2 linked regions of the Sus scrofa genome follow. The protein of the gene in region 2 purifies or fractionates together with the protein of the main gene of each other region. This does not show direct contact. Links are inferred from orthologs where the notes say so. Each region holds a gene or a part of one and is shown on either strand. Other genes may lie near its edges.

Region 1 (3,815 bases), on a different chromosome or scaffold from region 2:
GGAGGCAGGAAAATAAACTATACCCAAGAAAGGAGGAAGAGCAATTAAAACACAATCTCTGGCATCAGTTACACGGGTAGAACCATCATGTGGGGAAAAGGAAGGCACAGAGGAAAACAAAGCCAAAGAAGTCAACGAGGCAGGATTTGAGGCTCTGAGAGAACCAGATGCTTTACTTCCCCAGGTTCCAAGAGGAAACAGGTCTTTGCCTCCATACATGGACAGGCATGTGCATGGTAAGTGCATGCTGTGTAAACCTTGACCTCAGATGCTACCTCATCAGACGGCCGCCTCCGTAGACAGTTTGGTTCAAAGTTATTGATCCTCAGGACCTGGATGGCCCTTTTGATGCTGAGATGATGGAGCACACTTACAACTTTCAGAGACAGTAAGTCATCCTACAAAACAAAACAAAATGAGGAGTTCTCTGAGCAGGAGAACCTTCTTAGGGACATCTCAGAAAACTCAAGGTAAAGTAGAAGAGCCCCTCCACTGATAGGCCCCCAAGGGCTTGTCAGCATTTTCAAAGCTTTTCTTTAGGAACAGAACCCTTTTTCCTGTTCTGAACAAAATTTTCTCCAGGACCCCAACATAAATGAAAACCAAAATTCATGTTGTTCCAACTGAAGCTAATTTCTACCTGTTTCTCTCGTCTACTGAGATAGGATCATGGGACTGAACAGCTTTGAAAAGCACAGTTTGGAAAGCACTCCCAGGAGTTCCCTGGTGACTCAGGGAGTTAAGGACTGAGCGCTGTCACTGCTGTGGCTCGGATTGCTGGTGTGGCACAGGTTCAATCCCTGGCCTGGGAAATTCCCCATGCTGTGGGTGCAGCCAAAGAAAGAAAGGAAGGAAGGAAGGAAGGAAGGAAGGAAGGAAGGAAGGAAGGAAGAAAGAAAGAAAGAAAGAAAGAAAGAAAGAAAGAAAGAAAGAAAGAAAGAAAGAAAGAAAGAAAGAAAGAAAAGCACTCCTTGGTTGTCAAGGGGGAGGGAGGAGAAAGTGGGATGGACGGGGAGTTTGTGGGTGGTAGTTCAAACTATTACATTTAGAATGGATAAGCAATGAGGTTCTATTATATTCACTCTCTTGAGGTAGAACATTTTGGAAGGATAGTATTAGAAGAAAAATGTATATATATATATGTATGATTGTGTCACTTTGCTACACAGCAGAAATCGACACAACACAATCAACTATATTCTAATAAAAATTAAAAAAGAAAAAAAAGCACTCCCTGGGTCACCACAGAAAGTAACCTGCTTTGATTTGATTTGATGAAGCAGATAACTGAGAGCTGGGATGATCACTGATGAGTTGGTTTTCTGAGCTCAGGCACATCACAGTTTGGGGGAAAAGTGGAAGATTGCTTCTGTGATATTAACCCCCCAGACTCAAGAAATCTCTGCTTCTAGATTATAGTGTTTTATTGATAAGAGGTTTGGAATAATTATATTAATCGATGCAAAGCTTTCGGTGAGAGGTAAGGACAGAAGAGAAATAAAGAAGTTGTTAAGTAGCAGCACAGATCACCAGGCGATTCCTTTAAGAAGTAACTTTCACCAAGTCTGTGGCTATTGGGAACTTTTAAAAACATACCAAACACACCAAAACAAATTATCTTAGAAAGTGATTTGGGGGCGGTAGTGTCAAGAAAAGCACTAGTCTGCTTGCAAACACACCCAGAAAATAAACAAGGAAAATATCCATTTCAGACACGCCTTACCGATAACATTTCCTGCAAGGGAAAAATTAATCTACTATAGGAATATTTTTAAAATAAAATTATAGGACAGTTTAAATCCTTAAGGCTACTAACTGAGCCTTAAAAAATGATTTCCCAAATTCTTTTCTAGATTAATTTCTTAATGTAATAATAAGTTAGAAAAGGCATTTAACTTTTTTTTTTTTTTTTTTTTTTTGTCTTTTTGTCTTTCTAGGGCTGTACCTGCGGCATATAGAGGTTCCCAGGCTAGGGGTCCAATCAGAGCTGTAGCCCCTGGCCTATGCCACAGCCACACCAGGTCCGAGCCATGTCTGTGACCTATACCACAGCTCACGGCAATGCTGGATCCTTAACCCACCGAGCGAGGCCAGGGATCGAACCTGCAACCTCATGGTTCCTAGTCAGATTTGTTTCCGCTGTGCCATGATGGGAACTCCACATTTAACATTTTTAATCTAAGATTGAGATGCACATTCAAAACATTTCCATGTGCACTATTACCAACTAATTAAAAGTCTTTCAGATTAAAAAAAATTTGAAATGCTTAAGTATTTACAATGTAAATAAGATATTAATTAGTTTAAGGGGTTTTAAAAGCAGGGGTCATTTTCTTTTAAATCAAAACACTTTAGGGGAGGGTTTTGTTTGTTTGTTTGCCTCTTCTAGGGCCACTTCTGCAGCATATGGAGGTTCCCAGGCTAGGGGTCTAATCGGAGCTGTAGCCACTGGTCTACGCCAGAGCCACAGCAACGTGGGATCCGAGCCGTGTCTGCAACCTATACCACAGCTCATGGCAACGCCAGATCCTTAACCCACTGAGCAAGGCCAGGGATCGAACCCTCAACCTCATGGTTCCTAGTAAGATTCATTAACCACTGAGCCACGACGGGAACTCCAGGGGAGGTTTTTAAAAATCTTTTAAGTAATTTTAGATTTATACAGGAGCTGCCAAAGAGAGTACAGAGACTCACAGGCCCTTCACCCAGCTTCCTCTAATGCCAACATCTTCTATAACCAGGATATTCAACAAACGAAGACATTAATACAGACAAAATCAAATTCAACTAAACCTTAGACTTTATTCAGATTTTACCAGTTTTTCCACTAGGTCCTTTTTTTTTTTTTTACTTTAAAAAAAAAGAATACTTAAAATTTCTCCATTTTTAAACATTTTTATTAAAGTATAGTTGATTTAAAGTGTTGTGTCAATTTCTGCTATACAGAAAAGTGATTCGGTTATATATACATATACTTTTTCATATTTTTTTCCATTACGGTTTATCACAGGATATTGAATATAGTTCCCTGAGCCATCTAGGATCTCGTTGTTTATCCATCCTACATACAACAGTTTGCCTCCGATAATCCTAAACTCTTAATCCATCTCTCCCTTATCCCATTTCCCCCTTCACAACCACAAGTCTGTTCTCTATGTCTGTGAGTCTGTCTCTGTTTCATAAATAAGTTAATTTGTGTTGTATTTTAGATTCTACATAGAAGTGCCAACATACGGTATTTGTCGTTCTCTTTCTGACTTATTTCATCTAGTAAGATAATCTCCAGGTCCATCCACGTTGCTACAAATGGCATTATTTCATTCTTTTTTTATGGCTGAGTAATATACAATTGTGTGTGTGTGTGTGTGTGTGTGTGTGTGTGTGTGTGTGTGTGTGTGTAGCATTTAGGTTGTTTCCATTCTTGGCTATTTTGAATAGTGCTGCCATGAATATACGGGTGCATGTGTCTTTTCAAATTTAAGTTTTATCTGGATATATGCCCAGGAATGGGCTTGCTGGATTATATGGCAGCTCCATATTTAGTTTTTTGAGGAACCTCTATATTGCTTTTCATAGTAGATGCACCAATTTATATTCCCACTAGGTCCTTTTTCTGATCCAGGATCCAAATCCAGGATACCAGATTCAAACAGACTTTCTTTGATTTTGGATTTCTGGTAATTTATTCTTTTATAGCCATGGAAGTCATACGTTTGTCTTTTGTGATTTTCAGTCTGAATTTGCTCACATTCCCACAGGAACATAGTCATCTCTAGATAGGCAGACAAATAGGTACAAATGCTGTTTGATATTCT
Region 2 (3,865 bases):
GTCTCAGAGAAGGATGATCGTCTCATGCTGCAGCCAACAGCCTGCTCACCCCCTGCATCACCTCCCTCATCTGAATGTGGACAAGAAGGATTCATCCATCCCTGGGGTTTGAAGCCAAGGTGCTGGAAGGGGTGGCTAGGCAGGGCCTGGGCTGTCAATGTCAGGTCCGAGCCCTCCTCCCCCTCCCCCTTCTGGCCTCACGACTTCCTCCCCGTGACTCAGCCCTTCCCCCACCATCCCCAGGGCGCCCACACTCCTTCCCAGACCCCAACCAAGAACAGATGTGACCTTCCATCCCATCCCAGCTTCAGTCTGCGGTCCTGCTGGAGGCAACGTTGGGGAGATGGGATGGGTGAGTGCCCTGGCCGAGATCCTACAGCTGGGGCGGTCCAAGCCTCTGGGGTCCCTTTCCCTGCCTTCAGCCCCATCCTGAGTCAAGTCTGTCCCACATACCCATGCACGGTCACGCATCCCTCTCCCACCTTCACCAGTCTGCTCTCCACTCTTCACAAAACAGCAGCAAACCTGCCAGTACCCCTCCCACCCACACACCCCCCATATCCCTCAGGCCCCATCCCACCCTCTCAGACCATCAGTCTTATAGCTTTCAGAATCTTTATTGAACTTGATCAGGTCAGGAAGAGCCACGGTGAGGCACTGTGCCCTTTCTGTCAGGGAAGACCCCCTCCCAGCTGGCAGGGCCCCCACCCACATCCGAGGAGCCCTCACTTCTTCCGGGGCTGCTTATCAGGGAAGCCTTCAAAAAACTCGTTGCACATCATGGCGATGCAGGACAGGAAGACGCAGTACTCCTGGAAGTCCACCTCGTTGTCCCTGTTGCTGTCCAGGTTGCTCATCAGCTTCTGGAAAGCAGCTTCATCCGTCCTTTTCTGCAGGGGGAAGAGGCTGCGGGTAGAAACTGGAAGCAGGAGGGGCAGGGTGGGGGCAGGGGGAGCAGAGCTGAGACTAGCTCCAGATGGGACCTCAGGAAGGCACAGGCAGGCTGTGGGTCCGGGGGGAGCTTTGAACCTCCAGCCCTCAGGGCTAGGCGAGGGCGTGGAGGAGATCTGCCCTTCAGATGAGGAAGTCTGGGTACCTGGAAGCCCCTGGAAAAGGGGACTACAACATCGTCTGCCAAGGTCATTTTAAGAATCTGGTTAGAAGAGTTCCCGTCATGGCTCAGTGGTTAACCAATCCGACTAGGAACCATGAGGGTGCAGGTTCGATCCCTGACTTTGCTCAGTGGGTTAAGGATCCAGCTTTGCCGTGACCTGTGGTATAGGTTTCAGACACGGCTTGGATCCCGCGTTGCTGAGGCTCTGGTGTAGGCTGGTGGCTATGGCTCCAATTCGACCCCTAGCCTGGGAACCTCCATATGCCGTGGGAGCAGCCCAAGAAATGGCAAAAAGACAAAAAGACCAAAAAAAAAAAAAAAAAAAAAAAAAAAAGACTCCAGTTAGACAGTGGTCATGAAAGCAATGCATAAATTGTACAAAGGTTGATACAGATGGTAACTGTGATTACGCTGGGGTGTGTCTGTAGGTATGTGTGTATCTTCACATTCACAAGCCAAAGAGAAACTCAAAAATGGTTTATAGGGGAGAGGGTCAAATTAGGAGTATGGCATTAACAAATATATACTTTTATATATGAAACAGGAAAGGCAACAGGGATTTACTCTATAGCACAGGGAACTATATGCAATATCTTGTCATAACCTATAATGGAAAAGAATCTGAAAAAATATGCATGTATGTACAACTGAATTATTTTGCTGTATACCTGAAACTAACACAGCGTTGAAAATCAACTACACATCAGTTTTAAAAAGAAGGTGGCAGAGTTCCCTCATGGCTCAACAGGTTAAGGATCCAGCCTTGTCACTGCTGTGGCTCTGGTTACAGCTGTGGCGCAGGTTCCATCCCTGGCCTAGGAACTTCTGCATGCTGCAGGTGCGGTCAGAGAAAGAAGGGAAGAAAGAAAGAAGGGAAGAAGGAAAGAAAGAAAGAAGGAAGGAAGGAAGGAAGGAAGGAAAGAAGGAAGGGAGGGAAAGAAAGAAACTTTGATAGAGTGTTTATTTTTAAAAATGGCTCATAGCTGGATTGATGGCAAGAGTCAGACCATCATGATTCATGGATCTCAGCTTTATACACGAACTACTTAGGGAAGTGACTTAGTATCTCTGAGCTTCAGCTTCCCTCCAGGTCCATTGTGCCTCTTTCGGCTGGGGGCCAGGAAGTGAGCAGTGGGTGCTCACTAGGCAGCCAGAGCAAGCTCTCTGCCCCCACTTGCCCATGTCAGCCAGAGAGGCCCCGGTTGCTGATGCTCCTGAAGTCCTGAAGACCACCCCGCTCCGCCCCACTCAGCATCACTCACCCCCAGGAAGCTGGGCAGCTCCCGGGTCAGCAACTCCTTTAGCTCAGACTTGTTGAGCTTGAACTTGTCACCCTCCTTGCCTGAGTACTTGTGGAAGGTGGACACCATCACATCGAGGGCCTTCTCCAGGGGGTAGGCCATGGCAGCAGTCAGGATCTGGGGGCAGGATCACAGAGACATCCTTATCCCCCCCCCCAACCCTGCCCCCAGCTATGTATTCAGAATGCCCCCACCTCCATCCCTCAGGGAGCCCTTGGAGAGACTCTGCTTCCACCCAAGAGGGAGCCCTGAAAGGTGGGGCTCGGCTCCTGGCGGGGTGGCTGTGCACACTTGGGAAGTTCGTGCTTGGGGCAGTGAACACCTGCGGGCCAGGATGGCAGGTTCCGGGTTGCAGGCAGTCCGTTTAACCAGAGCCTTTCTCCACCCCTCCTCCCTCGGGCCCTTCACTCCCAGGCTCAGCCCCCAGCAGCCCCACCCTGGCCCATTCTCTCTCTCACAGCGCTGGGTTGGGCGACACTGCTGGAGATCTGCCCAGGGGCCTGTAGCGGAAAAAACCAGCGGCCCGGCACTGCATAGGGAGGGGCAGGATGAGGTGGCAGAGGCGCACGCGGATGCAGGGGAGGGATGGGGAGGCCACCCTCCCTTGAGCTGGGCTGCTGTGTGCAGGGCAGAAGCTCCCAGGACACAAGGAAACAAAAGCCTGCCATCGCCTACTGCCTTCACTGTGCTTCCCATGCCCGAGTGTGCATACACTGGCTTGTGCAACGCAGCAAACATGAGCCAATGTGCACACCCACCGGTCACAAGCATCCCAAAACCTACTACAGCCACCACACAGGCAAGCCCCAGCATCCCAGTACCGCTGCGACAGCTCCCATCAGCCACCTGCTCCTCGCTCTTACTTTTAATTTTTGCGTCTCTCTGGCATGCACATGCACGTGCACACACACGCACGCACAAACACACACACACACCACCCAAGAGCCTTCCCATCAGAATCTCATATCCCGACCCACTTAGCACATCTGGTGCCCACCAGCCTCTGCTTCTCCTGCACCGAGCCTCAGCCTGACCCCCCCTCGTGTGCCAGTCAGGCAACCACAACTCACCAGGCCGACCACAACTCACTAGGCCAAGAGAGAGGAAGCGCAGAGGAGAGAGGGTTGGGGCGAGAGGAAGAGTGGGGAAGCCCAGCAGCCTGACCTATTTATACCCTGGCGGGGCCCTGCCCATGCAGGGGCTGGGGGAGAGCAGGAGACAGCCCTCCCTCCTATCGTGGTCAGATGCGGTAAACGCTGCCGGCCCCCTCCACCAGCCCAGCCTGGAAACCCAGCTTCCTGCCCAGGGCGGGCACGGGGAGGCGGGGGGACCATGGGAGAGCCCCAGTGGGCACAGGGAGGGGCCTCTGTGGGGTGGACACTTGAGTTTTAGGGAGCTGGAGGAAGGGGCAGTCAGTGCCTGGGGCCTGGGGTGCCGGTGGTCTCTGGGG

Evidence for each region.
Region 1: the proteins of S100A4 (region 2) and PPFIBP1 purify together in Homo sapiens (co-immunoprecipitation; 3 studies listed by BioGRID and IntAct, with this or other methods). This does not show direct contact. The link is inferred for Sus scrofa from reciprocal best matches to the Homo sapiens genes S100A4 and PPFIBP1.

What each region holds. Positions count from the first base shown.
Region 1 is NC_010447.5:46,037,710-46,041,524, forward strand, and holds part of PPFIBP1 (liprin-beta-1), read right to left. Parts: intron 399-3,815; coding exon 276-398; intron 1-275. UniProt on the Homo sapiens protein: May regulate the disassembly of focal adhesions. Did not bind receptor-like tyrosine phosphatases type 2A.
Region 2 is NC_010446.5:96,087,894-96,091,758, reverse strand, and holds S100A4 (protein S100-A4), read right to left. Parts: upstream 2,518-3,865; coding exon 2,377-2,517; intron 891-2,376; coding exon 726-890; downstream 1-725. UniProt on the Homo sapiens protein: Calcium-binding protein that plays a role in various cellular processes including motility, angiogenesis, cell differentiation, apoptosis, and autophagy.